4 linked regions of the Struthio camelus genome follow. The protein of the gene in region 4 purifies or fractionates together with the protein of the main gene of each other region. This does not show direct contact. Links are inferred from orthologs where the notes say so. Each region holds a gene or a part of one and is shown on either strand. Other genes may lie near its edges. The genes, in order: DTNB, UTRN, DMD and TNS2.

Evidence for each region.
Region 1: the proteins of TNS2 (region 4) and DTNB purify together in Homo sapiens (affinity purification with mass spectrometry; 3 studies listed by BioGRID and IntAct, with this or other methods). This does not show direct contact. The link is inferred for Struthio camelus from reciprocal best matches to the Homo sapiens genes TNS2 and DTNB.
Region 2: the proteins of TNS2 (region 4) and UTRN purify together in Homo sapiens (affinity purification with mass spectrometry; 4 studies listed by BioGRID and IntAct, with this or other methods). This does not show direct contact. The link is inferred for Struthio camelus from reciprocal best matches to the Homo sapiens genes TNS2 and UTRN.
Region 3: the proteins of TNS2 (region 4) and DMD purify together in Homo sapiens (affinity purification with mass spectrometry; 3 studies listed by BioGRID and IntAct, with this or other methods). This does not show direct contact. The link is inferred for Struthio camelus from reciprocal best matches to the Homo sapiens genes TNS2 and DMD.

The regions. Positions count from the first base shown.
Region 1 is NC_090944.1:1,498,312-1,505,466, forward strand, and holds the start of DTNB (dystrobrevin beta), read right to left. Parts: upstream 3,005-7,155; 5' UTR 2,996-3,004; coding exon 2,832-2,995; intron 2,550-2,831; exon of another isoform or gene 2,472-2,549; intron 1-2,471.
Region 2 is NC_090944.1:84,645,728-84,653,614, forward strand, and holds the start of UTRN (utrophin), read right to left. Parts: upstream 3,020-7,887; 5' UTR 2,978-3,019; coding exon 2,884-2,977; intron 1-2,883.
Region 3 is NC_090942.1:130,523,269-130,530,851, reverse strand, and holds the start of DMD (dystrophin), read right to left. Parts: upstream 3,009-7,583; 5' UTR 2,949-3,008; coding exon 2,852-2,948; intron 1-2,851. UniProt on the Homo sapiens protein: Anchors the extracellular matrix to the cytoskeleton via F-actin. Ligand for dystroglycan.
Region 4 is NC_090969.1:1,672,015-1,679,614, reverse strand, and holds the start of TNS2 (tensin-2), read left to right. Parts: upstream 1-4,581; 5' UTR 4,582-4,605; coding exon 4,606-4,698; intron 4,699-7,054; exon of another isoform or gene 7,055-7,154; coding exon of another isoform or gene 7,155-7,160; intron 7,161-7,600. UniProt on the Homo sapiens protein: Tyrosine-protein phosphatase which regulates cell motility, proliferation and muscle-response to insulin. Phosphatase activity is mediated by binding to phosphatidylinositol-3,4,5-triphosphate (PtdIns(3,4,5)P3) via the SH2 domain.

The sequences.
Region 1 (7,155 bases), on a different chromosome or scaffold from region 4:
ATGTCATTTAAATGGTGATTCTCCAGTAACACACTACATGTTTAAGCAGATACAAGTTTTTTCTACCTAATTTTATCCTTCATATTGGTGGCTAGTTGCTTCTACAGACTTGATATCTACTTTATCATTCTTCAAAACATCAATAGATCAGCAGTGCTTAGAATTAGCAATACACATAGACCAATGTGAATCTTACAGAACTGTACTACATTTTTATACTCTTTAGCCTATGCTACTGTATGCTAACTATATAACACATGCTATATGACCACCCTATGCAAAAGAAGTCGCAAGTCCATGCCCTATGGTTTTTATTGCTATAAAAAGGGCAGTAGCAACACAGATCTAAAACTGTCAATCCTTTACACTGTCAACAGAAGAAAGACCTTATATATTCACAAAACTTCAGGTTTGGACCTGAGGGTTTCCCTAACAGTAAGCCAGAAGGAGCTTGTTGGACTTCAGTTATAAAGAAGAACTGAGATAAAATGATTAAGGCGGTTTAGAAAAATAAATATGCTTGATGATGCTTAAAAATCTTAATCATTTTGTTGCAAAGTTCTAATAAGAAAATAACACTGCGCCATATCCATCTTGCCAAAGCAGTATCATGTCTCCAAAAGCAGCCCAAAGTAGATGTCGAGGGAAGAATGCAAGACTGGAACAAGCACACAGTTAAAGTTTCCTGAGAATACACTTTCAAGGTCCAAAAGTTCGCAACGCCAAGACTTCCAGAGTCAAATTGATCCTCTGGAGTTAGTAACCATCCACAGCTTTCTCCTCCATGAGCCTATCTGCCTGTCCTTCACAACTTGTAAACTTTTAATGTCCACAGCACTTAGCAGCAAGAAATTCCAGAGCATAAAACCCACAGTTCAACAAATCACCTTCTTGCATTCTTTTGAACCTGCCTTCTCCCATCAGATTTTGAAGTCACACAGTTCTTCTATGGGAAGGAAAAATGGGATGGGGGTGGGAGAACCACCACTATCCATCCTCTCCATGACATTTATGACTTTATAGATCTCCAGCATATCTTTTCCCCAGCCCTCTCTTCCATGCTGAGGGATCCCAGTTCATTTCGTCATTCCTTCTACTGAAAGCGCTTTATGCTCCAGTGAGTCCAAATCAAAACATGCATGCCAGGAAAGCTGAAAAGATAAGGAATGAGCCAAGGAAAGGGCAAACCAAGAGGTGACTAAAGCAATTCTGGTGCACATAACTAGGAAAAGCCTAGGACAGGAAAACACAACAGACTGAACAAGGAGGTGAGACAGAAGTGAAGACTAACACACCGGATTACAACTTTGCACAGGAATGACTGGAATGGTAATGAGTAGCAAGGCAAAGCACATGAATTAGTATTTGACTTGGACAAACTGAAAGATGAGAGGTAAGGATTAAAGGTTCTACAAATAGCAGAAAATACAGCTTTTCCAAAATACAGTAACTCAGAATTTAAATTTTCCTATACCAATGGAATATAAAAACAAAATGCATTTCATTTCCCTTTAGCTGTTCATCCAGAGAAATGACAGCAGTCACTCCATTAGCTCCAGTGCAACATGGAGGTGCAAACAGATATAAACATTAGAACTTTACAGATGATGACCCATGCAGAAAGCAATACGGATTCAGAAGATGAAATTAGGAAGGAGTTTTAACATGAAAATTACCTTAACTATTAGCTCAGATTTTTATAAAAACAATGATAAACACTGCATCTCAGTGCGTGTGAGTAAAGGGAAATAAATGGTCAGGACTGAAAAGGAAGCATTAAAATCCTAAGGTGTTTGACCTTTAACCTTAACACTCCTTTAAACATAGCTTTAAATTGTATACACCAAACCCAAATGTGCCAGCTAGTTTTCTGGGATCCTGACCAGAGTAAGAAAATGCCCGATTTTCATCCATTCCCGAGCCTTGACAAACCTTGACAGCACAACTACTTTCTATATGGTAGACCTGGCAACTTCCTACTTCTTTCCTTACTCTTTCTGCCACCTTCCCTTCAAGGGCTTCAAAGGTAAAATTCATCAAGAAGAATATACACATTAAGATAGTCACATTTTGGATTAATAATGTTTAATCAAAGAATCTGCTTCCTTCCTTCTCCAATACTAAAGCAACACTGAATTCTAGAATAACTACACAGAAAAGCCAGGTTCCCACAAGGGCCCACACATCAAGAAGAAGCCTCACCAGCCAGCAGAGCCAAATTCTAAAAATAATTCTAATGAATTGGTCAACCTCTAATGAGGTTGAGAGAGGTTATGCTCTAAATACTCTTAAAGCCAAATTTTTCAGAATAACAGCAAAAAATGCAGTACTCAGTCCTGCTTTCTGTGTGGTTCTTCTGCACGGCTCAGAAATCTGTAAAATTCCATTTTGCACTCTTGGAAACTTGTAATTTTTTTAATATGAACATAAGAGAGACCACAGTAGATTGCACCAGAAGTACGGTTCCTCACCATATCCTTCCGATTGTTTTGGACTCATTACTGCCTAGTTCCATTTCATGCTGGCTCCTGCCTCCACCCACTTCTGGGCTGGAAGAGACATGAACAATACTCAGTCATCTCCTTTCCAGGCTGAAGAATCGGGAGACGATATAACAGTTTTTCGTACAAAAACTGCCCTCCTACTTTTGATTATCCTTATCACCTTCCTCCATATGTTTTCTAGTTCTGTTATCTGCTTTCAGAGATGAAGGAGAAACAGAACTGTACACTATATTTGACATAAGAGGCATACCACTGCTTTACAAAGTAGCAGTAATATTGTTTTATTCTTTTTTTAATATTTCTTAATAATTCTTAATATTCTATTACCTTTTTTTGACTACAACTGAGCACTTGCTGATGTTTTCACAGGACGGTACCAGAGCATCAGGATAGTATTCCTGAGGGGCAACAGATAGCTCAGAGAACAACAGTAGATATGTAAAGTTAGGATTGCCTGTTTCTCCTCTCCGTTCCCTCACCTCCATTTGCATAACTTTACATGCATCTACACTGGCAATAAAGTAGCAGATGAAATTCAATTACTAATTGAGTCCTTCTAACATTCTTAACGGTTGGCTTGCATTTTTAATGATGGTTTCTTTCAGCAGATGTCTCACTATTCACCCTCTGTTCATTTATCATTTAAGACTATATTGCTGTTTAGTACAGTGATGGAATGGAGTTAACCTAAGAACGCTGAGACTAGAAGGAATTGATCTCTAACTCATTAGTTAAAGTTGTCTTCTGCAAAAGAACGTAATCTTGCTCTTAATGTTTTTCTGACCTCTACATTACTGAGGCAATTTTACCAGTCCCCTTCTCCTGCCACAGAATTTTCTGAAATAAAAATCTGTATTCTGAGAGCTAAACAAACCTACTAAGACGACACAAAAGTCATGCTCGAACTAAACACTGTACTTGGAACTGAAACTAAACAAATTCAGAGATCTACACAGTGCTTCAAGTGAGAGTAGCAGGTTTTTTAAACATATAGAATTGGTGCAAATATAAATAATTAAATGGTAATACTGGGATTTCATTTCTTTAGCTTTTACACCACTCAGTTCAACCCAAGGCTCAAATCTCAAGTGCTTAGAGAAACATGCCTGAACATAAAACATCGAGATTGCCACTAATCTTTTAAAGGAAGGGGAAAACCTGAAATCTGATAAAGATGCAAATTTCACACACAAGGGTGTTTCGTGATGAACATCCGTTTTTGTTTTTCCAGCAAAACGTTTGATTTGTACTTTAAATAGAAAAGCAGTACCATCAACTAGCTTCTATTCATAGTGATGAGAAAGTGAGTTTATATGGTCTGTTCTGGTTGATTTCCACGGATATTTCTTCCTCAAAAAGCCTTTTCTAATATTTAATAATCTGGAGAGGTCATTTACATTATGAATGCTCTTGATTCACTTGAGGATGAGGACTAAGAGTAGGTTCAACCTAATGCAATTTTTTCCTTAAAGGTTGTTAAAACCAACGCAGTTGAGTTTCTGCACCTGAGTAAAATTCTTCTAGCTAGAAGTCTCCCAAAGTTTCAAGGATTCTGGTAAGCATGGAGAGCTGGAAGTAAAAATATATTCCACGGGTTTTGGTCTTCATATCAGCTCTTGCACTGATAGCATGGGCTCAGCTTACATTCACCACCTAAGCCAGAAGCACAGAAAACTCTTAAAGAGTGCACAGGTGGTCTGCTCAAGTCTGACGCAGTGAAACATAGAAAACTTCTCACTGCAGTGACAGAACAGTTCTTGAATTAACAGTGAGAACCATGCTAGATCCATAAAATACAGTTTTGCTTTATGTCAGGAGGCAGTAATTTTGTTGAAGGCAAAGAAGCAAATCTGAAATCAGTAAGATGAACCCATTATTGGAGGAGCTTATCTTTTATCTGTAAGAAATGTCAGTACAGTTACTGATACTGTCTATAGCCCAGAAGGCTTCACAGTGAAGTACGTTCAAGTTCAAATGAGAAGCAAAAGCATCAGAGTTGAACTCACTGATGAAGCCAGCACCTAAAACTGAGCGGATGTAATAAGACCGCATTTCCTGATTTATCTTCAGTGATATTGAAAGTAAGCTAAAACCTGCTCCAGTTTCAATTAGTTCTGTCATAACGTATGTGTTCAGCTAACTTTTCTCTGTATTCAGTTTTCAGATAGACATTATGAGGCTCTTGAAAATTACCAACACACTGTGACAAGATAACAGTCATATATATATAAAAGTATGATAGAATATATATGTATATTTGTGTGTATACACAAATACATTATACATACACACAGACAAATGTATTTTTTAATGCAATAAGGTAAGGTAGTCCCCAAGGCCCATGGTAAATTTTAGTTCAAGATGCCTATTATTTTAATTCATAATGTTGAGACTTAAAGGGGAATTATCTATCCTGTGGTAAAATAGTCATTAAAAAACAAAACAAAAAAACTCCAAACACAATGTGATTCTTATTTGATAACCGTATGGGGGAAAAAAAAATCTTTAAATGTTATCATTTTTCACCTTGAAACACAAAAAAATTGTAAGATCGAACACCTTCCAAAACTACAGTTGAGTATGTTTAGTGCAAACCTTCAAAGAGTTTACAATCTTTCCTCATGCATCCAACTTCTCCCTCTTTCATTAGCTACCATATTACTATTTCATTGCTTCATCGAGTAATCCATATGACAGAATTCATATGAAACCTTAATTTACAAATGTCATTCCAGTAAAGGAGGATACTTCTACACAGTCACTTTCACTATCTGAAATACCTTAAATAGCACCACAAATATTAACATATTTCAGCTTTACTCCTCTTTCTTCTTTTCCTATTCATATTCCATTCTTCTGTTCTACTCTTCTCCTTTCTCTTTCTCTTCAAAAAAACTCCCCCCCCCCAATACATGCATGCCATATGTTTCCTATGCTTATACCGGGCTGAACAGAAAAAACAATACATAAAAAAAAATAAAATCTGAAGACTTCCCCTTTACTTGCTTTCACAGCTTTAGCTGCTGATGACTCTGGACTACTTATTTCTGTGGTTTTTGACTACACTTAAAACTTAAGCACAAAAATGAAGTAAGCAAGTCACTCTTAGAAGATTGTTAGGCCAATACTACAGGACCTATTTTAAAAGGTTTCGCTCTTCTTGGAGCTCATCAGCTGTAGGTAACGGCCTAAGTAAGCAGATTTTCCTCTCCAGATTAACGGGAGGGAGAAAGCGTATTTAACTATTGTCAGCCAATGTAGCCTTTGTTCTTGCACTAATGATAGCCACCATCTCAAAAGCCATGCTTTCTCTTCTTCCCTAACTACTATCATATTGACTTCCTACTACTTTATGAACTACAAAATTTACTCTCCCATTCTAGTTTCTTATCTGCAGTTTCAGGTGTTTGCTCACTTGACTTTTGATTATTGTAATTTAGACACTGCTGCCTCATCAGCTAAATAGGAGAACACAGAAATACATGCTTATTTATGAATTATTAAGTTTGAGTTTGTTCAGATTCTTGATGTTACATTGTACTCGAGGAAGTATTTGGCATCTCTTAATATGACTGCACTTGCTGTGTTAGGGAAAATTCTACTTATACTTATTTATATTCAGAAATAACTTGTAATTCAGTGAAAATTTAGAACACTAGTTTGGGGCACATCTTGCTCTTAAACATACTAGTTACAGTTAGGGAAGCTTAATAATTTCCTGTCAACCTTCAAATTAGAAGGATCTCACGTCCACAGGCTGTTTAAAGAAATGAAGCTTTCATCCCTTGTCAGTTCATTCAGTTTTTAAGATTTGAATGAACCTGCCATTGAGCTGAGGATATTGAACAAAAATTTACAGCATATTTACAGCATAACTGTACTTGCGGAAAAGGTTCTGCTATCACAGCTGGTTTAGCACTTGTAGTTATTTGTTCTGGGCTTCTAAACATGTATGGCTTGAATTTCCATTTAATTTAAATCATTTTAAATAGTTTCCATCTTATCATAAATGTTCTAGTTCTAAAGTTTACAAATTAAGTAATTTATGACATAAAGGGGCCTGTTTTTTAAATAAAGTGGGTCTAGGGTGAATAAAAATGCTGAAGTATTTTTTAACTCTTCCTTTACTATAAATTTGAACAAAGTCATAAAGATTCACTTTATTCCCTCACTTCCTTCTTTGCTCACCCCAATTATCTGATGCTGTCTTTTTTTTTTCCTCCGATTTCTTCATTCTTCATCTTCACTTTGTTCAAATTCCCATCTCCCCTTCCTCAGCAAACATTAATATATCTAATTGAGTAAAAGTAATCCTTCATTCCCCTACGCCTCTCACAGGGAAAAGAAAAAGAGGTCTAGAGGTTATATCAGGGAATAGCTAACACATTTAGACCAAAACTTAGAAAGATGATAGTGGAGAAGCCTTCACACTTATAAAAGATGCAACTAGACCAACAACATCTCTTTAAGTATACTAGAATTTCTGATAATTCTTCTAGTTTAACTAAAATTTCAAACTCTGTACCCATAACTGTTTGGAACAAACTGAAACAAAAGAAAGGATTAAGAATAATACTTTTAAAACATTACTTCTGCATACTACCACAACGTATGGTAATAATATGCGGCTTCTAATAGCACAGCTATCTGG
Region 2 (7,887 bases), on a different chromosome or scaffold from region 4:
CAGCTCTACTAAGCAAATCAGCCGACTCAGGGCTTCACAATTGCTTACAAGAACACAAACAATATATTTATTTTTATAATAGCTTTTTGCCTCATGACAAAATAACTCCAACCTGCTTTCACTGCATATATCTTGTGGGAACAGATAAATTACTTCCCACCTGAAAGGAAGTTTTTAATTTATAGTCTAATGTTCCTGGTATTTCCAAAGCAAGGCTATCTGAGCTAGAAGGAAATGCTAATACAAGCTAAATGCACAAATTCAAAAGAGACGTTGTTAAAATATTAGTTTGCAAAATGCCTCATGTCACTATCATTATTTCCTATTGCTATAAAAAATAGCAATAATTTTAATCAATTGAGAGGGGAATTTTGTACAATAATCTGCTTGCAATACAATGTGAATTGCTTTGTTTTGCTTCTGCTGAAAATTACGTGAAAAATTAGCAAAATAAATAAGCAGTGGTATACTGCTAAGATGCCAACAAAGATTATTCGATTACCGTAGAGCGCCTAATTGGCTTCAAGAGTTGGCATTTTATAGAAACAGTGCTGTAAGGGCAGCCCCTTTCAGAAGGTTTCATATAACTGACATCTTTTTCTAGTCCCTTAAAGCACGGTAAGGAACATCCCCTCAAGCGACATGGTGACATCCATCTGAACAATCAGGCAATTAAGGGAGAAAGAAATCAAAAAAAAGAAAAGCACACACACAAATCAAGTCAAATACTGCTATGCTTGCTATGCTGGAAAGGTTTTGCCTGGAAGAACAGAGTCATTCCCACAGCATGGGAGTGCCCTCAAAAAGCAGATCATAGTCCTACAGTTTATGATAAGTTAGGAACATTATAATGCAGGGAATTTCATAGAAAAACCCTGCCACTTGCTTAAAAGCACTTCTATTGTGGCTGATATATTGCAATCTTTTTTTTCTAAACAGAGAGCTCTCAGCTCAGAGAGAATTAAACAGGACTTAAGAATTGGCCATTAAGTGCTATCTGCACATGCATATAAAGCACTTGAACAAGCAAGTAGCTGCAACTTACCTAGGAAAATTTATATATTAGCCTGGCCCCAATTTTAACAGGCACCCTTACAATAAATCATCCACACACAAACAAATATCACAGCCTTAGCTGTGTACACCCACTGACACTTACCTACTAGAAATACCTGAAGGACTGAAAAGGAAAGGCTCAGAAGGATACACCTCCTGTTATTCCACAGACAAACTTTTTAAAGGTTTCACAACCCTAATGTTCATCAATTAATTGTATGGTTGGTTAAAACACTTACTTTCCTCTCCCAAGATTAAGTTCCCCTAAAAAACAAACTTCTACAAAAGAAGAAGAAAATCCCAGAAATAGTTCTCAAAAAGAAACAACATACACCACAGATCAAATGTTTCTTCTGAACATGTGCCCAGGTTAAAAACAAAAATAGAAAATAACACACAAAAAAAAGCATACTGACATTTTCCTAGTTCCAACCTTCTAAAAAGAGAGTCAACTAAAATAAGTTGCATCTCACCAGCAGGCTGAACGCATGCTAGAGATTCTGAACAACATCAAATGGCTCTCTGACCTGTACTTTTAGTGAAAACTGCAAACTCATTGACAAAAGCAAATCCATTAATGGTAATGAGTTTTCTTGACATTTTTCTCAACTTTAACCGTTTGGATTGGCCCTTAAAGGAAAAGTTTCTGATCTTATATAAACTGGCATATCTCCAAATCCACCTCAGCGTTACCAGAAGCAAGCATAAGTAAGACTAGAGTCTCAGCGCATCATTTTGTTCTATTTAAAATTAGTAATTCTGCTTCTAAGGCTTAAGTGAATTGTTGTCTTGCTCTATAAACCTATACTCAGACTATAGCTTTTTCAAAAAAAAAAATAATAATAATAAATCTACTGATCAGTAGGTTCTGCATCAATGAAGCCCTGACACCAATTCACAAAATAATCAGTCCCTATTTGTCAATTACTGTGTCTCTAAGGCATATTCACAAGTATTCAGAATCTTCAAATCCTGTTCATCATGCCAATCTAGCTTATCTGGCCCTGGCCATCATGAAGCAGATGAATATTGAGCCCATGAAATTTCAACCAGGGTGAGTAGGAAGGGACGGAATGAAGAAAAGGAAAGAGAAACATTCCCAATTTCTTCTTCCTCAAAGCCCCACAAAAATTCTTTCCAAATTACAGGAAATATTGCTCCCAGGACATTCCAAACTTAGAACAGATACACACACACACACACACACACACACACACCCCTCCTTTCCCCAGTTTTGACTCAAAAGAAAAATCCCACCATGATCATATGCTGTACTGTAAGGGGGGCTGGAACTGTTATAAGTATGTACATCCAACAGTCTCAGGAAGTATAGTAAGCAGAACTGCAGAGAATAAATACAATTAAATATTGAAATCACTGACGTGATGTACAGTTTCAGAGAAGTAGGGACATTAAGGCTTCCAATGCTGTCATATCATGTTTCCATTGTTTAAGAACCTATTCTTAGAAAGGGAGAAAAAAATGAAGAAGTAGGCAGAATCACTGTGGAGGAAAAAAAATAATACCCTTTATGTAAAAAGGAAACCCACGACAAAAGCACTACCAAGTGCCTCTTGTAGATGTTAAACAGCCACAATTAGTACAGAGCTCGCAATGGAGGAGTGCCACAAAAAACAGACTGCAAACGGTCTCTCCTTCGGACTGTTTCTTACCACGTCTTTGACAACCTGTTGCTATTAGGTTCGGCAAACTTGAATCAAGTTAATAAAAGCAGTTTGCATCAGGTATAGAAGACAAAAACAGACGCACATGGTTAGATCCCTTTATCCATCATAGCCTTGAAAACATATTTAAACATGCACTCACCCGGTGGAGGATAACAAGTCTGTGTGACAGTATTCCAAGGCATAGCAAGCTTGTGCTTTTTCCATACAGCTTTTTTGGCTGTTTGAACATTCATGACCAAGCTTACTGTTCAGAAACAGGAAAATGAAGATGTAGAGGAAGTACACACTAATACCCACACAAGAAGTGCATGCTGGGATTTGAGGGGGAGGGAAGCATTGGTTTTCCTCAGAGAGTTTGACATATTCAGCCATAGAGTGACTGACAAACCAGTCAGGAAACAAACTTTTTACAGTTAAAGACTGTAAATAAACAACAATAGACTTAAGGCTAATTAACAGTTTCAAAAAAAAAAAAAGAAAAGAAAGAAAAATGCACAGATGACTATTTCACTTCGCTTTCTCCATCTTTATGAAAATTGAGTGCTTCTAGGCTTTCAAAGCATTCACAAGTTTCTATGTACAGAAAGTAGGAAATACATTAGCAATTTTCCTGTGCATTTAACAGTAACTCTGCAAAAAGCTTATAATATTACTGCAACACTTTTTCTACGCATTTGACAGAACATCAATCCTGGTAAGTATCCACATCTTTTACTGGTATTTTAACAAAGCACATGGAAATTGTAATGCAAGGTTTCAGCACAAAAAGCAAGATCTGCAGATAAACCTCTATGCCAATGCAACAGTTACAAACTCTGATTCGGTATGCAATTTCCATTGTGCAGTAATTGCAAACAAAACATGCCACAGTACAGTAAGGCAGAAGCTGCATAATGTAAGGGTATGTCAGTTATTTTAGAAGAAGGCCTTTAAACTTCTTTGACCATGATGACAGAAGGCAAAACCAATCCCTCCCCCTTCAATATCCTGTTGTCAACTTTAGAATCAAATTGAGATTTTTTTTAATCCTGTAGTTGTGAAGTGTATGCGATTCAAAATGATCCATTTTAGGATATTAAACTGTATAGATTTCCACTAGTCACAAAAAAAGTAATGCAAGGCAGGAATAAAAATAACATGGAAGTACAAGCATTACAACCAGAGAAGAGTTACATATAGAATTTTTTCAAAAGCAGTAAGACAGGGATGCTATTTGGTTTATCTGTGTTGGCGCACTGTGTTGTAAGGCAACTGTTCTAAATTCTGCTTTTATCTCTTTATGCATATTCAGCTGGGAAAGTTTACTGTGTCACATACCAGATAGACACTGAGGGCAAGGTTGGGGGGGGTGGGGGAGGGGGGAAGAGCTCAAGATAAGATTTTTCTTTTAACCCCTTTCGGTTAGTTGGTCTTACTTTGGATTTTTCTATTTTAACAATTCTTCATAGTTGAAGCCTGAAACATTTGCACAAAAGCGTCTTGTTTCCATGAATAAAGACAGCCATACATACACAGGGCTAAACCAGACATTTGTATCCAAACTTTTCTGTGGCCTGTACAACAAACGAGCAATAGGGAAGGGAAATAAAATATTAAAACCAGGATTCACATAAAGATATTTATGAACAAGCAACAATGATGTATTTTGCAATGGCAAATACAAATCCAAACCTTGTTGGTTCAAGCAATTTACAAGCACACAACAAAAAGATGTTGCCAATTCTAGGGAATATAGAATCAAAATTAGCAGGAGGTCAGGTACATATGCTAAACATTATAAACAGCACCTAAACTCTTTCTTCAGGTCCTAATGAGACTGATTTGCGTTCCTTAAGAGACAGCCCTTCCGCTGATCCAACGTTTCATCTCACCTACCGCACATAGCCCTTGCCTACTGAACAATAAGCCCCATACACAAACACATTAAGACTCTGCTCATCGGATACTTGCCAAGACTAAAGGTTATGTTGTTTAAGTTTCAGGAATTAATTGTTTTGGTACAACACTTTCACCCTTTCCATTCCTTAATAAAGGATGGTGCAGTCAGTAAGAGAAGTTAGAGCAACACTGAGTACCCCTCTGAGCCTTCATTACTCCTGGAATTTCAGTATTAAGGCATGGGGGGGCAGGGAGGGGATGAGGGGAAAACGTTAATTCACCAGAGAGCTTTCACAGAACCTGAACTCTTGAGTTTTTCTTACCAGCAGTAATTCGATAGCACATCTTAGTGAAACTGGTTTCATCCAACACCAAGTTTTACTTCAAAAATCCAACACTTTAATAATAATATACATTGAGAACATTTACTGCTTTATGAAAGATTTTTTTTGAACAAAATAAATTTCTTATTCAGATAGAGGCAGAATTATGGGTATAAGTTAGTTTCACATCAGAACTCATCCATAAAGAAGTTAGCTTTAGAATGGCAGAAATATTTTTTAATAGTGAGGCTTGGGCCTCTGCCATAATCTAATGTATTGGATGTGAAACCCATGTGTTAACCACAAGAACTGATAAGCAAGAGAGAAGTGGTAGCCATGGGGAAAGTAATCCTAGAAGAAGGCAAAAGAGGATTTTCAGTTTTTTAAACAAATGCAAGAGTTCAACATACCATCCATAAAACACTTCATTCATTAGGGGAAGACGGTCTCATTCCTACCACTACTGAATTCAATAGGCGATTTATTTAGCAGCTCTCTGTCTAGAGTATGTGCTTTCTTTTATTCACTCTGGTGTTGACAGCAGTAATGAAATTTTGTACATACCACTGCCTCTATTATAGCTCAACAGCAACTGGCTGCCTGCCCTAGCCTTCTTACCGTCATGTAAGATAAAAAGACCAGCCAAACAGACCAGCTGAAACTACAGTGGAAAAATAAAAGTAGAGTGAAGGCTGAGTAAAAGCCTAGTGAGCAGAAATCATATGTTTTAATATTCACCTGCATACTACAAAGCATGGAGAAGAACAAGGCTAGGGCCAACACAAAACAAAAGTCACTTCAAGTTTTCAGAAGGACTGCAGCTTAAATGGCACCTCAGTTCTTCTAGAAGAACCTGAATTATAAACTTAATACATGAAAACATCATATATCAATAGCTCAGATCATAAAATAGGGAATAGGAAAGTGAGAAAAAGTAGAGGAAAAACAGAAAAACGATTGCATCTGGTCATTTGAAGGTGAGTTCATAAACACATAAGATCACTTCTCTATCCTGGTCCCAGCAGACACGAAGTCAGCACCAGGTCCAAAACGAAATTAAGTTCACAGTTGCAAACAATAATGGGAGTGGAAGGCAACATCCTTTAATTATAAAATCCTCTGTAAACAATACAGTGTTGAATACGATTGGTTTCCATCTCTTCTTTGCTTTCTGGTCCTGGGAGCTTTCCAAGTCCCTTTAATGCCTTGACTCAGTGAAGAGGAAATTGGCTACTTTTTCACCGCCTCCCTTCTTGTAGCCTCATTCCAAGTAGGCCTGGGTTAACCCTTCTCTGAACTTCTACCCATCCAGACAAGTCTGCAAAGAAAGGCTTGTTTTACCGAGGAAGAAAACAAACAAAAAAAAATGTATAAGATTTCTTATAGGAGAAGAACAAGTAGATGTAGAGTTCCTCCATAACCTTCCTCCCCTGTTCGTCATGCTAAAGCCAAGGACTTGTTCCTTCCTAGAGAAGGAGCATGCTCTTCTGCAAGGTTTTTATACTACCTCTCTAGGCCTCCACTTTATAACACTGCTATAATGAGCTTCTAGTTAAGCATTTCTCATGCTGTGTGATATTAATAACCCATAATTTTATTCACAAGGTTTTATTTCACCACAACAACATGACAAGATTTTTTTCACTGGCCCAACAAACACGTTTTGAATTAGCAGATCAAACAATTCTGGAACTTCAGTAAGCAAATAAAAGAGCTTAGAGGACAATGTTAAAGAGAAGGATGCTGAAAAGGCAGCGACAGGAACTGAAACAGAAAGTAATGTTTCAAGTGCCTGTCTAATTTTGGTGGAAATTGGTAATTAATTCAACCCCCTACTCCCAGAAAACCCAGAGCAGCAACAACTTTGGATGGATAACAAAGAACTTCTAGCATCTCTTTCGAAACCTTCTTTCACACAGCAGGTTTGTGTCAGCATGAAACATTCTTTTGAAAAGTGAATTAACAGTATAGTAATAGTTAAGCCTTTGCTACTGTGGGGTGGAGTGGGGGGGAGAAGAACACACATTGTTTCAAGTATTACAGCTATTAGAGCTCTATGGATAACATACAAATATCATCTTAATGCTTGCACAAAAGGCTCAGCATGCAAAGAGTTTTAGTAATACTGTGCTCGACAGATTTGGTTCTATTAAAATAGCACCTATGTGGCTGTGCGGCAGCAACTAACCAACTGACTCATCTGCAAGAGAAATAACAACAGTAATCATAGAAAACAAAATATGACACCTTTCAAGAGTCTCCACAGTTTTAGTTACGCTTTTTCAAAGTTATTCTGTTATATCCAGGGATGGGGGGGAAATATTTCAAATGTAAATAATCAGAAAACTTCTGGAGCACATTAAAATCTTCCAGAAATATGTTAAGTCATGATGAATCCGGGATAGAGAACAGACAGCAGATGCATGGCTCTAACCTACCTTTTTCCTAACATTAGTGTTTTGCATGCTAGGATGTAATACTGATGAACTTTTATTTCCATGGGAGCCCTGCACCTGCTCTCGGCCACTAAGTCGCAGTGCACCCAAATTCCACGGTGCAGGAATAGGAGTAATCACTTCCTCTTTCCTTGTCAAGCCCACTTCCCGGAGGGAAGGATGGGATGGGTCTGTAAGCCATCTGAGCAGCCGTTCTTGCTGGTTTGCTGGCTGTTTACAATTTCAAATATCTAAGCCACTTTAATAGTGCATATTGTTCTGTTGCTGGAGGGACAGACTGAGGAGCCATTCTCAGTCTGACTTCAATCTGACTTCAAGTCTGACTTCATCTGGCTGCAAGCGAAACAGGAGGTGTTCCAACACCTACTGGCAGGACTCCAGAAATAACACTGTTACCACAGAACACGCTCAACAGCCACTCCTGTACAAGCTACTACAGTCAGGTATGCCACCTAAACATGCACCTCCGCTGCCACCTAAACGCTG
Region 3 (7,583 bases), on a different chromosome or scaffold from region 4:
ACAGGAAACGGACATGAAAGTAAGATTACACTACCTAAGATTACAGAATCCTTATCCTATACTGAAGGTTTAATAACTAAAATAATATTTAGGAGTGCAAATAATCAGCTTCCACCTCTATCAATAAATAACTTTTTACATATTTCCTAATTAAGGCTAACCAACATGTGAGTGACAACTTCCTGTGCCCCTGCACACCTTTTAGATCACCCTTGCAAGAAATGATTTCAAAACATTGGTCCCATAGCTAACTATAAAGTGACAGATGTCAGCTATATAAATTAAATCAGGAAGACAGGAAAGAGGGATTTATATGTAAAGAAGAGAGAAAAATTTACATGCAACAGACTAAAATAAGACAGATACACGATTGGATTTCTGCAGGTATCTGCAATGAAAGCATCTGTTGGCTCCTATTGTTGCTTTTCTCCTCTTTTCATCCTTTATTTCCTTTCTTTTGCTTCCCAGCCTTCTTTGTTGAATATAGATGCTTTATTATTATTATCATCTCTGATATAAAATAATAAAAAGAAAGAAAAATGGTGAAGTCGTTTCCTTTAACGCCATCAGGTCTCCAATTTCATGACTAAGGTCCAGCTCCAAGCTTTACCTATTTTTTATTGTTATATTTTATAATAATCACTACATACACGGGCTTGCTCATTAGACAGGCCTGTATTACTGTATCTCTCTTTAGAATCAATAGCTAGCTCCACCTAGTGTCTTCTTAATTCATCAGCGAAACAAAAAGCTAAAACTAACTACTATTGACAAAAGAGAAGCAAACTATAAAATCACTTTTCAGCTGGATGGTGGCCACAGATGGCATGCAATTATGATACTGTCATCACAAGCAAAATAATATTTAAAATAACTACCGTCTGATGATAGCCAGCCAGCAGTCTTGTGACAAAGAACAACCAACAGCTTCAGAAGTATACCTCATGCAATATAAAATGGTTTTACTGCTACCCTGAAAAGGTAAATGACACTTAAGCTGCTTATATGGGTTATTCTCTCTATGGTTTTATAATCAACAAGAAGGACAAATTACCTTTGAACCTAACAGAACTTCTCTGAAATAGCATAACAATAGTTTTTATCATCAAAATCATAGAACTACTGGTGACTATACAAACCTGATAGTGATTTTGTCCATTAATAAGCACTTCTTCCCTCCTAGCAGTTATAAAATAATTTAAAATGCCTCCCAGAGGTGATCAAAGCACAAAAATGCTCAAATTGCCTAAGAGTATAGTTTTACTGATCTTTATTTTCAAACTTTTTAAAGGCTGGTTCACTGCTGTGTATCTAGAAACACCTATCTTTTTAAAAACTGTTATAGATCTAGTCAGCAACACTTAGCCTTTAATAGCCCGATTCTCTTCTGGCAAGACTACCTAGCTTACAGCCAGCAAAGTAATTTAAAACAAAGTTAGAAAGTGAACATCCAGTGTGATAGGAGATTTTTTGAATATCATTTTGGAAAAAAAAAAAAAAAAGATATACCTAAGCATGAAGAGCGTCTACAGAAAGCACATTGTATTACAAAATAATCCAATCCAATGATTGTTTCCTGGGGGCTATCAAGCAGTGTTTGAATGGTTGTTGTACCTCCAAAGGTGAAGCAAAATAAGCCTCTGCCTTACTCTCACAAAACAGCACTTTTCCTTTTCAGACCCAGAACAATCCACTTTGACACAGCTGACATCTGTTTTAAACCTGTTCAAATCACCTGTTCAGAACTGCTTAGCAGTTTCACCCTAGTGGTGATAAAATATATTTCAATATGTACAGTATACACTTGAGGATTGCTCACCACGACAGAGAGGGAGTATATATGTTGGGGGGCTGGTGGGGGGAGACAGACAGAATGAAGGAACATATATATAGATGATACCTAGACCAAAGTAAGCACCTCTAAATGATCTCAAACTTTCTTAAAACAGGCAGTCTAAAGTTATACTTATGACTCATCTGGTTTAAAGTATTCACGGCTAAAATGTAGTGGTTATATGAAAACATTACTGCAACATGGAATATGAATTTAATAAAATACATGCAAAACTGCTCTCTGATGTTTCAAAAATAAGACAATATGCCAATTCTCAATAATTTAGCAGTTGCCGTCATTTCTCATTAACAGCTTTCAAAATCCTATCTGAAACAAGCTGATACAGAGAAATTAAGAGCAGTAATCAAGCGAGAAATGATAGACCAGCTGGGTAGACATCAAGTTGGCAAAACGTGAATACAGTTCAATAGCTGAAACAGATGCCAGAGTTGTTGAAAAACCCTGCAGGAGATATTGATGTATTTTCTTTATATAATACTGAACAACCGAATAAATGTCAAGAGCTAAAAACTGATGGGGAATAAAACCTGTCAGAGTAACTATAAAGCAGAAACCTGCAGTAGTATCTTTTCATTACATCAACACATTTAATACATGCATCTTCATTTCCGTGGGATTCCTCAATATGCCAATACATCAATCAGAGCTGGCTGGTAAATCATATGGAGCCTTTGCCAGTGTTGTTTCACATCTGTTTGTTTCTATCTACCTGAGGCTTCACAGACTTAGAAAAGACTTTAGTCTTCAACCTCATCCTAACATAACGCTCTCTTTCAGGCAAGGGATTCCCTGAGCTTAGAGGCGAGCATAAGAAAAAAGTAACACAAGCAGAAATGAAATTACAAAATCCATTTTGCAAAAGGAACATTGTTTCCAGAGTTTCAAGACCTCAGCAACAAATCCTCTGCCGTCAGCCGCAGCTCATTCTAACATATGCTTTGTCATGGTCACTTTCTAATTACATTCATAATGATGCAATAGCTTTGATAAGCCTACCTTCCATGCCAGCTGCTTTTCTTGTCACTCCATCATGCCAATAAGTTGGCTGCCGTAACAAATCAAGATAGTGCAAAACAGCATCTTCTCCCTGCATCTGTCATCTTCCTGAAAGCATTCTATTACTGCCGACTGCTGGGAACCAGAAAGTCTATTTGAATTCCAGCAGCTCCCCTTTCGCATGATTCAAGTTCGGTTAGGTGGGCATGCCTAACATGATTCTCTCCATCATTTATTATGCAGCTGCTACTCCGTCGGTGTGGTAACCACTCTGACTTTATCTGATACGTCAGTCTTGCAAACCTATACCTCCGTGTGCACGCGCGAGCCCCAGAAGCATCTTGCATTTAATGAGCACTCTCGCTGCCTGAAGAGAGTGCATCTGCAAATCGGTTTCGCATCCTGCTGCTCACACCGTCCTCTAAGGCTGATGCAAGTGTTTAAAGATTTTTTTTTAATATTTTTGCATTTCGTCTTTGCAGAAAGCACTGCGCCTCATGCACACTTGGTTTATTCACACTTCAGTTAAATGCTTGCTGATTTGTGTCCAACTAAACAGCACCTTCCCATTGAAACTCTCTGCTCTAAAGCTACTTCTGAATAACAGTACTGTGCATTCAGGCTCTCAACTGTTTCATTTTAAACGTGGCTTTCAGAGCTACACCTCGACAAATTATATTTAGCTCTCTTTCATTGCAGTGAATGGCTGTCTAATGAAGAAACAGGAGATTTTTAAGCAATATATCTAGATCTACCTGTAGGTGACTTTCCCTTTTTTGTGTTTTATACATTCTAGCAGTAAGTGGATAGCTCTGTTACAGCATCTTGATATTCTTAAAGTGGCAAGAACACTGCCAGAAGCTGTTTTTCGCCAGGCTGTGGAGGACACTCCATAATGACAGAGTTCACTTAACTGCTTCTGAGTACTGGGAATTAAAGGGGTAGGACTGTTCTGTTGTCTTTCTATTTATATTTCCTGTCGGGGTGGGGGGGAGGGGGGAAGCAGGCTTGCGTCAGGGATTTCAAATGAGTGTTAATACAAATTGACAAAGAGACATCAATCATCCACCAAGTTAAATTAGCTGGGTCTCCTCCCACCGCTTCTGCCTGAAATTCAGAGTCACGGCAGTTCATCTTTAATGCATCTGCTTGCACAGAGATTGAATAAACATCCCCAACACTACACTGAAAAGTTTGAATGCTTAAGCCAGGAAAAAAAAAAGGCTTTTTAAAACTGCAACTGATTGGCCACAATACATTACTTAAGCGAAGTAGGGAGGGAGGAGGAGGACTAACACCAGAGTCTCACCTCCCCAGCCTTTACACAATGACAAAAGAAGGAGTGACGAAGGGGAAAGGGCACAGTCCCTCACAAGGAGCTTTACCTCGCTGCGTCATCCAGCTCTGGACCAGTTCTCGCATTCCTAGCGCAAAAGATTCATTTTTTCTTAAAAACAAAACAAAACAAAAAATCCTCTCTCCAATAGATGTGTTTAGCTTCTCCATGCTTTCCCCTCCAACCCTACCGCTTTGCTCCCTTCCTCCCCACAATTTCCTATTCTCAGTTAAGTACCCAAAGGCTATGAAAAAAAGCTAGAAAACATGAGCTTAGGAGAGCTATATATCAGAGAAAGTCTGGGGGGGGGGGACCCACAACCCCAAGGCAAGAGAATCTCTCACTACTTTTAAAAACAATTCAGGAAGTCTCATAGCTACCTCTCAGCCTCCCTCAACAGCGCTCTCCCCAAGGGCGGCGCAGGGCACATCCCTCTGCGCTGCTTGCAGAGCTGATCCCCGAGGTTAGCAGCAAAGCCTGGACATGCCGCTGGCCACAGGCACGGGGCAGCAGCAGGGTGCAAACCCCGACCCCACAGGCAGCGCTGGGAATGAGCTGGCACCGGTGGGTGCCGAGCGCGGGAGACCTCCCAGCTCTGCTGTTAGGGTTCGACTGCCTGCTCTAGCCTGTATCTAAATGGCACAGCTGGCACCTGAATAAGCTCACATAACGTGGTGCAGTTTGTATTTGATACCGTATTTATTCCTAGCATGCTGCCAGAAAATGTCTTTTTAGAGATTTCATGTAAATAAAGTAGAATTACTGCATCTGTTCCTCTGTCTGTAGCAGCACATATCAACAAGCTAATCCTGCATGCAAGGCAGCAGAGACAGTCCTATCGTATAGTTGCAAAGTGCACAACTATAAAGTGCCTATCTGAAAATATTGTCACTTCCTTTTTGTTCACAGTTCAAGTCATTTCTGAAGTGAAACAAACCAGGCAATAAATGAGGACTGTCTTTGAAGTCCCCATAAATTCAAAGTATATAAAAGGATATGCTTAATATTTCACACTGCATTATGATTTTTAAACCACAGAGTCAGTAGCAAGGAATTTAAATGTTATTTCACAAAAGAAAAGTTTGAGTTTGTAGCTCATATAGCCTGTAATTGTGCGGTAGGTTTTTCACAATGATAAGACAAGTAAAAACTCACTGCAGACTTGATTTCTATTTCAACGAATTTTGAGCTATGCAAGGTTAGAGATGGACATGTTCGGAAAAATACTTTGTAGGTACATAAGCCAGATAACGCTGGTAAGAGAATGGGGGTATCTGGTATAGCAGCATCATAAATATAGATTTTTAGCAGAATCTTTTCCCACTACAGAAACCAGCCCCTTAGAAGGAAGTACAAAAAGGAGGGCATGGCTAATAGGGGACAAAAAAGAAATTATGAAAAACATTTCCAGAGAGATAAGCATGGTATTACAAGGAGGATCCATCAGGGTATATTGTTTAATACTACTGCCCTCCAGCACAGCGTACAATCAACATCCTGTAGTTTAGCTGCACAGACCATTCCTCTTCAGATCAGAGCTGGGTTTGCCCCTGGAAAAAAAAGAGGAAAAAAAATTTTGTTTGGAGAAGGGAACTGTAATATACCAGTATGGGCATCTTCTCTTTACATGATCTGTATAGAAAAAGAGTTCAGAGACAAATGGAGAATTTGGGAGGAGAAACCAGTATCAGTCATTCCGTCCACATACTAATAGGCCGGATTAATAGCTGGCTTTGGTCTAGCTTTTCTGCATTTGTCTGAGAAAACAACAGTTTTGGTTCCTGCTTATTATATCTATGCAGATGCTGAATCTAGTTACAATTATAGTCACCCACCCTTATGGAATCAATTGCTTTAGAGAGAAAGCTCGACTGCAGCTTTCCATCGACATGGACTCCTCAGTACACAAATACGTATTTTTTTCTCTAATACAGCACTGTCCCCAGTTTTAAAGCAGAAATAAATGACAAGTGGAATGACAGTGACCAACTAGAATTCTACTTTTTACAGTATTGAACTCAGCAGGCTGAGAAATTCCAGTCTATTTGGCTGACAAAGGGGTGAAAAAGGAAGAAAGCCCCTCTCTTTTCCTAGTCCATCTACAACTTATGGTGCAGATATGTCTATACATTTTAATTGCTTCACTGCTACTAGAGCGACTAATTGGTTTATTCAGTGTGTGTGAGTTTGATTATGGTTGTGTGTGCACATTACAGTGATAACTATGATACCCTGTAGAATCTCTTCTTGTTGCCATTTCTCTCTTTAGTTTTCCTCTTTGGAGGTACTAATGACTCCAACTAAGCACAAGGAGGTAATGGTTCACTGAAAAATGAAGCAAGCAGACTGGCCTTGACCTTCAATTCAGCCTCACATGCTCTACATGATGCACTCTCTGATATGAAATGAATGCTGATTTTATCTGGCAAAAAAATGTTCATTTGTTGTGCTAATATGTCTCCTGGTAGCAAATCTATTTCTCTTTGCTTTTTCGCTGTTTACCGGTATTCTTACCTACTTCACCCCTCCCGTAATAAATAACTAATTTGTTCAATAAGCCACCCAAGAAAACACCTTAATGATGTATTAGATATGTTTATATTAATAAACACTTCCAGAGGGAGCATCGGAAGGTTTGTTTGTACTACACAGGCAGGAATTATTAATTATTTCCTCTTATTAATAATTCTTATTAATTATAATTCTTATAATTTTGCCTTCTATATTCATTATTTATTAATTATAGAATTCCTCACATATAATGATAAAAGTCAGCTGTTCATAAAGGATCACTTTTCCATTAGGTTTGAGCCCATAGCACTTTTATTTCTATCTCAATAGTTTAGTGAGGATGCCTTCTGACAATTATAGTACATGTGGCTTTGCTCAAGATTTTTAAAACTGCCGTAGAGAAGTGTATAAAAAATTGTGAAAATGAATGATGCACATAAAGTTGTGCCTCCAGAAACTAAAACCCCTGTGCAACCATCATCTCATCAGAGAGTCTTGCAAACCCTGGGACTCTAATGGGACTGTTGACAGGCCTGATCTCTATGTTCAGCAGGATCTCTATGTTGACCAGAGAGAGACTTTCCGGATGTGCATGCATGAGGTCAGCTAGCAGGCACCTGACAGCAATCTGAGGACCTGAAACTTACACTATTTTCAAACTTTTCACTTATCTACACCATATTCCATTCGAATATTTGGTAGAAGTCATATTCTTTGTTTTAATTAAATGCCTAATATATGAAAATTCACCTAAGTTCCAGTTTTGCTATAAACTGAAAGCTCAGAACACTTGTCTAAGAACGTGTTCTTAAACAACCTTCCAAGCGAGACTGAGATTGATCCAAGTTACGCTTAACATCATAAGAAGTTTTGCAAAGTTTTGTT
Region 4 (7,600 bases):
CTGACGGAGGCTCTGCTGGTATTTTGGAGCGTGGACTCGATACCCTTCCTCCGGCTTGGCGAGGAGCAGCGTGGCAGCAGGTGGAAGTGTCAGTTCCTGAAAGGTATCGGCATCCCCGTGGGCACCTTCTCTTCTCCCTCTTTCTTCCTCCTTGCTTATCCTGGGTATGAGGAGGTAGCACAGTGCTCTGGCATTTCACCTCCCCTCACCCAACATCTGCTTTTCCAGTGTCCCTTTCTTTGGACAAGCAGATGCTGGCAGCCCCTTGGCATAAGCAGTGCTCCCCAAGCCCCGAAATGCTTGTAGCGAAGTAGCCTGGAATTGGCATGATCTCAAAACTTGAAATGTTTTAGCAGAATTTGTCACCTTCACCAGATGTCCGAGCTGACAGCCAGGTCAGTGTCTACACGTGACACAGGGCTTGTGCGGGCCACAGGGGGACGTGGGGTCTAAAACGTAGTTGGCAATGTAGATACCTGCATTGTGATGTGGCCAACGCTCACCTGGCTTCCAGAGCATGTGCTCACGAGGCAACTGTCACCCTTTTTTTGGGGAGAGGGGAGGAGGAGAGACCTGCGTGCTTCCTTGCCTCTCTCCCACCAGAGCCACTGGCAGATCTCTTCCTGGTGTCACCTTCGTGCTGCTGAGAGGCTGCAGTGGCTGCTGATTAGTTATTTCAGTGACTTGGAGTTTTTTAGCTAGTTCAAGAAAACGTGACATCAAGGGGACGGCACGTACTGTAGGCAGGATATAGAGACTGTGCTTCAAATTCTGCCCCAAGAGCAGAGCTGGACTCCCACCGCAGTGTTGCTGTAGGTCTCGGTGCCGCAGGGGCTCTACTCAGAGATACTTAGTGCTAAATCACACCGGGGAGGGAGACAGCAGCCTGCTCCCACCCCTCCGCTGTCAGGACAAGTTCACTCATTGCATTTTACACGTTCTGAAGATAACATGTAAAATTTGTACAAAATATCTTCTATGAAAATGATTTGTAATCTGTAGTGGACTTCCTGGGAGATGTCTTTTATTATGTAAACCCCCCCACCTTGATTTGTTTTTGGGTTTTTTTTGTTTGTTTGTTTCCTCCAATAAAACTAATCTTTAAAATACCCTTTAATGCCCAAATCATTTGCAAGTCTCTTGCTCTGGTGCCGCTTGGCAGCGGGCTGGGCCCAAGCTCTCGACTCGCTCCTCTCCCAGAAGCAGAACCTCAGAGCTTCCTTTTAAGTCCCTTTACCCTGTCCTAAAGGAAGGTTCACTGGGCCCTGCAGGTGGCAGGTCCCTTGTCTCTGCCTGTGTCAGCACTGATTTCTTGCTGCCACCAGAGGGTGGCCTTAATCCAGCCTGGCCTGTCCCTAACCCTCCCTCTGCTCCTTGCAGATCCTGCCAGGATCCGGCCGCAGGCCTCTGCCGGTAGCAGCTCCCGGGCTCTGGTTAAGGAAGGCGACTCCGGCAAACCCACCTGGGCCAGAGAAGGGTCTTGGCAGCCAGGTCTGGCATCACGAGCAGCTTTGGTGCAAGCTAAGTAACATCCTTTTCTCCTCCAGGGCTGGTGGTGCCACCTCAGTCCTGGAAGTAATCCTCAACCGAAGGCCTGGATGCGGGACAGGCTCTGCCCTCCTGCCTCCCAAAAGGGATGTTGATCCAAAACATCCCCAAAGCCTTCTGGCAGCAGGCAGGAGAGAAGCGGAGGAGGAACCCAGCAGCCACTGTGTAAGATGCTCTGTGCAGAGAGCCCCAAATGCCAGCTCTGATCTCCTCTCCGTGGCACCGAGCCCGTCATCCTTCAGCAAGCAGCTCCCTGCAGACCGGTGAGATTCGTTAGCAGCTCCTCTGGGCGCGTTTCTGGTCTGTGCTTGCTCCTGCCAGAAATACCCCTGTAGACCGTGGTGTTTCTTCTGCTCCTCCTGGGCTGGGCGAAGATCACAGGCGTCACTGGTCCTCTCCCCTCCCGGGCGCCTGCATCTGCTCCTCTCCGCCAGCCCTGAGCGGGTTGACTTGTCTCCCAGTCAGCTGCTGCCTCTCGCTGCTGTCTCCTCCTCTCTCCGCTGATACGTTCCCACGCTGAGCCCAAACCGCCCCGTCTCCTTGTGAGCTCCACAACGTCCCTATGACCGGTTGGGACTTTGAGCTCTGGAGTGGCCGTGCTAAGCCAGCGCTTGGGTGCAGAGCACCCAGGGGCTCTAGTGCGCGGGGAGACTTGTCTCGCCTGGTTAACGGGCCTGCTTTTAAGCGAATGCTTAATTAACCCTGCTAGTGTGGTCGGCGCTCGCAGGGAGCAGAGGGAAATGAGCTATTTGATGCGATCCTATTTACGAAGGGTGCTCCGTTTAAACCTGCGGTTTAGCTGGTTCCTGACTGTGCTGGCTGCAACTATATAAAGCCGCTCAGTGTCTAGCGCGGGAGGGAGTCGCTCGCGGCAGTTCCTGCGGCGCGACCGCGGAGCCTCCCCCGTGCAGGCTCCCGCCGCTTGTTTGCGTTTCCGTGCGCTAATCGTGCTCTGAAAGGTCCTTCTGGGTGCTGCCGGGACAGGCCCAGGCTTGGGGGCCTCTGCCGGGCTCCTGTCTGCGCCTTCGCCCTGCGGCTGTTTATCTCGAGGCTGCTTGCGCCGGGCCCCGCATCAGCTCCTACCCCCTTGTGCAAACCTCTCCGCCTCCGCTTGGCTGAGCCGCGATCCCAGCAGCTGATCTCATTCCTGGCTCCCTGCTCAAAAACTTGATGGGATTAAGTACCTGTATCCGGCCTCTGTCTGGGCTTCCTATCTATAAGCTGGAGATGATAAGCCTGGGAAGATGGAGGTGGCTCCAGCTACTCCAGCAGTCGCGCTTTCTTGCTCTTTCTTGCTCAGAGCGCAAAACTGCAGCCGGAGCTGGTGTCGGTGCAGGACCTACCCCAGCCGGGCTCTCTGTGTGCTCCCCGGGCTGGAAACCGTCCCTGGGGCCGCTGCCTCCCTCCTTGCGCTGCTGCCCTTGCAGGAGAACACGGCCCGCCTTGTGGGCTCTGTTTCTTTAAAAAAAAAAAAAAAAAAAACCAAAAAAACACACACACCTTGGGCCCGATTTCAGATCGTGTTTTTGCAGAAGAAACCAACACTATCTGGGCCTTCGCGGCGTGTACAATCGAGGCTCTGTGTTCGCTCCTGGGGCTTGGACGGCTGCTGTGATGTTGGGGCCAAGTCTCATTCCAGCCTGCCCCGTTTGCCGTCGGGCTGGCCGGGGGCGGGAGGGCCCCGAACAGGGCTCTCTCTTCATGGGGTAACTCGTCCCGGCTAGCAAGGTAGCGGAGGTGGGGGGAGCGCCGGCGCGGGCTTTTGGGGCCGGGACGGGGTGCACCCGCTGCCTCTCCCGGCCCTGAGCTTTCCGGCCACGGGGGAAGTTTTGCCCGGTGGCCGTAGCGGAGCAGAGCTCCGGGCTCCGCTCCAAGGAGGCTTTGAGGAGCAGGAGAGGTGAACAGCCTTTGGGTTGAGGGTTTGATGAGTGCAAGAGCCACCGAGGAGGAGGAGGAGGGTGCCGAAGCAGGCAGGGAGCTGCCTGCTTCCCCCCCTCCCCATCTCCCTGGCTTTCCAGCTAGGCTGGAAAGACAGACCCGGAGGGCCAAGTCTAACCGAGGCCGGGGTGCAAAGAGGCGCAGGGACGAGAGGGCGAACGGGCTGGCGGTGGCAGAGCTGCAGAGAAGCAGCTTTTCCCAGGCGCGGGGCGAGAGAGGTGTGTGCATCTCTAAAGGCCTTTTTGGTTGGCGTCGGGTGCCCCTGAGAGGTTTGGGGTCACGCGAGTGCCCAGGCACCGGCTCCTCGGCCGAAGCAGCTCGCGGTTGGAAACCTGGAGCAGGTTCTCTCCAGGTAGGAAACTCGGGCCGCGGCACGCCGGGAGGCGACGACGCTGCTCCGAGCCGCCCAGGAGAGGGGTTTGCTGGCAAACCGTCCGCCCCGCGTCTCCGTCCCGCTGGCCACCTCCTTGGGCTTTGCCAGCTGCTCGGAGATGCTCGAGGACGTCAGGGTGCCGGGGAGCATCCCTGCATCTCAGGCTGTCGCTAGCCCCCCGACGAAGGGGAAACCCCCATCCTGCCTGGTGCATCCTCCAGCATCCTCGTTTTGGGGATGTCTTCGGTCAAGGTGCCCATCGCAGCGGGGTGGGGGGGGGACACCCAGGAGCCACCTGAGCCAGGGGACGGGGACCGGGATGCCCTTACTCGGCCACCCGCAAGCAAGCAGCCCCCCGCGGCGCCGGCAGGGCATCTCCCGCCGCGGAAGCACGGCCGAGCCGAAAAGTGTTTCCGATTATCCCCGCTCGGGCTTCCTCCCTCTCCGAAATCCCGGGCTCCGTTGGCCCGGGCTCTGCCCCCCTCCGCGGTGCGGCCCCTGCCGGCCCCAACACCTGCGCCCCGGGGACCGCGGGGCTGGCACCGCTCCGGGTGCCCTGGCAGAGGAAGAAGAGGAGGAGGAGGCCGCCGGAGGAGGTGGAGTTTTTACCGCGGTTTCCAAGATCCTCGAGAAGAAGGAGGCAAAAAAAAAAAAAAAAAAGCGCTCGGAAGGAGGGAAAAGAAGGGGAAAAAATAATAAACTGCAGGAGGCGGCGGCGGCGGTGGCGGCGGCGGCGGGAGGAACCCATGGGCCGGGGAGGAGGCGCCCGGTGCTGGGCACGGCCCTGCTGCGCTCTGCCCGCCGGGCGCCAGGGCGCGGGGACGCGACGGCCGCCCAAGGTGTGTTACCCCGCGGGGCGAGGAGGACCCGAGGGTGCCGGGGCGGGGGGGGGTGCCCCAGCCGCAGCCCCGGGTGGCAGACGAGGCCCGGAGAGCCGGGCCACCCTGGTTCGGCTGGCTGCAGCCCTGAGGCCAGGGGGATGGTCGCCCTCCTGCCGCCAGCCGGAGGAGGGATGTCAGTGGAGGTGAGGGGAGGGGGAAGAGCCGAGCTCTTCCCCCCCCCCTCCACCTCCCAGCTGTGATTTCGGCAAGGCCGATCTCACGGCGAGAGCCGGAACCAGGAAGAGCCGGCCGGGAGCGAGGCTGGCTGCTGCGCAGCTGGGCCGAGGCCCGGACGCCTGGGTCCTCCCGCTTCCTCCCTCCTCGCTTCCCTGCTCCGTGCCTCGGTTTCCCCGGCTCTGTCTGCTCGCGCTGCCTGGCGAGGGGGTGCCGGGCAGCTCCGCAGCCCCCGGCCCCATGCCCAGGGCCACCTCCTCCCCAGGACATGGTGGGGAAAGGGGAAATTCCCCCAGGAAAGCTGAGAGCGGGTGCAGCTATCGCAGCCCTGCGTCCCAAACCCAGGGCCTCCGTCCCACACCCTGTCCCTGCATCCTAAACCCCATCCCTCCACCCCAGCCCTCCGTCCCATATCCTGTTCCTCCATCCCATACCCCAACTGTCCATCCCAAACCCATCCTTCCACCCCCAACCCCATCCCTCCCTCATACCCTGTCCCTGCATCCCAAACCCCATCCCTCCACCCTATCCCTCCATCCCATGTCCTCTTCCTCCATCCCTAACCATCTCCCTTCATCCCATTCCCCATCCTTCCATCCCAAACCTTCCATCCATCCCATCCTTCTATCCCTAACCCCACCCCTCCATCTCATACCCTCTCCCTACATCCTAAACCTCATGCCTCTACTCCATCCCTCCATCCCATACCCTCTCCCCGCATCCCAAACCCCATCCCTCCATCCCATTCCCTCTCCCCACATCCCAAACCCCATCCCTCCATCCCATTCCCTCTCCCCGCATCCCAAACCCCATCCCTCCATCCCATACCCTCTCCCCGCATCCCAAACCCCATCCCTCCATCCCATTCCCTCTCCCCGCATCCTAAACCCCATCCCTCCACTCCATCCCTCCGTCCTGTACCCCATCCCTCGACCCCGTACCCCATCCCGCACCCCATCCCTCCATCCCTCCCTGGGGCGAGGACTCTGCAGGGCAGCCCCAGGGTCCCAGCTGCCCCCACCAGGAGTCTCAGCCCACCCATCACCCCCTGCCACCCCGAGGCGGGACGCCAGGGGGATGGGCTCCGCACCTGGCCCTCCTCTCCCCCAGGGCCGCCCCGCAGGGCACCTAGCCGCGGCTGCGCCTGGCTCCGGGCCCTTCCCCTGCGGCCACCGGAACCCAGCAGTCACCGTCCCCTTCACGCCGCCTGCCCGCCCGCCGGCCCTTACGGGAAGCCCTTCCCCAGCCGCCTCCTTCCTAGAGTCCAGGCGTCCCCGCACATGCGGCTCGTCCCCCCGCAGAGCCTCTTCCCGCCGGGACACCCCGGCGCGGGGCCCGTCCTCCCGCCACCCGCGCGCCGGGCTGAGCCCCAGCAAACTCAGCCCGCTGGTTCCACGGGGTCCGCTGCCAGCTTTGACGGGCACTTGGCGGGGGAACAGGAGGGTCACAGCTCCGGGCGGCACTGCCCGGCCCCGGCCCGGGCGCAGGCTGCCAGGGACGGCGGAGCTATAGGGCCGGCGCCGTACGGCCAGCCGGGAGCGGGTGCTTACTGGGCCAAGTGGGTGAGAAACAGGGCTGTACAGGCCAATGTGGGTCTGTCACTGTGCTATATGGCCCAGGGCCCTAGGGAGCTATATGGTGCCTATAGAGCCCAGGCTGGATGGTGCAGGGCTGTAGGGAGCCCTATGGCACCTATAGAGCCCAAGCTGGATGACTCAGGGCCGTAGGGAGCCCTATGGCACCTATAGAGCCCAGGCTGGATGACTCAGGGCTGTAGGGTGCCATATGGCACCTATAGAGCCCAGGTTGGATGGCGCAGGGCCGTAGGGTGCCATATGGCACCTATAGAGCCCAGGCTGGATGGCGCAGGGCCGTAGGGTGCCATATGGCACCTATAGAGCCCAGGTTGGATGGCGCAGGGCCGTAGGGTGCCGTATGGCACTTATAGAGCCCAGGCTGGATGGCGCAGGCTGGGGGACCCCGTCCCCCTCGCTGGCGGCAGCCCCTCGCCCCCGTCCGTGCCCCCCCTCCGTTAACCCCGTCCTGCCTGGGGCCGCAGGGGTTAACGGGCCGCCGGTGACCCCCGGGGCGGCGGCAGGAGGGGCCGGGAGCGGGAGGGAGGGAAGGAGGGAGGGAGGGAAGGAGGGAGAAGGGGGGAAGGAGGAGGAGGAGGAGGAAGCAGCGGCAGCCTCGCCGCTCGGCGCCCGGCCCGCCGGGCCGCACCGGGGGGTCCCGCTGCCATGAAGGTATGAGCGGGGGCTCCAGGCCAGACGCCTGGGTCCCTCAGCCCCACCGCTGCCCCCGGCTCCCACGGGTGTTTTTGGTGGGGGGGGGGATTCCGAGCCTGGGGAGTGATGGGGATGGGTGGGGAAACTGAGGCACGGGCGGAGGTGGGGGCGGGGGAGGGGGGGAGCGAAGGCTCCCTGGGCGGCCGGCGGCGAAACGGAGGCAGCGGCGCCATCAGTGTCACGACAGCGCGCGGCCTCAGCCGGCCGCCGAGCGGAGCGGGGCGGCGCGGCCTCACCCCCCCCCCCCCCCCCGCCGTGGCGGCCCCCACCGCGGCCTCGGCGCACGGGAAGCGGCTATTGTGTGTGCGGAAACCGGGGCTGGCCCGGCCGCCCGCCCCCGGGGTCGGCCCGCCCGCCCGGGTGCCGCCGCGCTCCGCTCCCGCTCCCGCTCCCGCTCC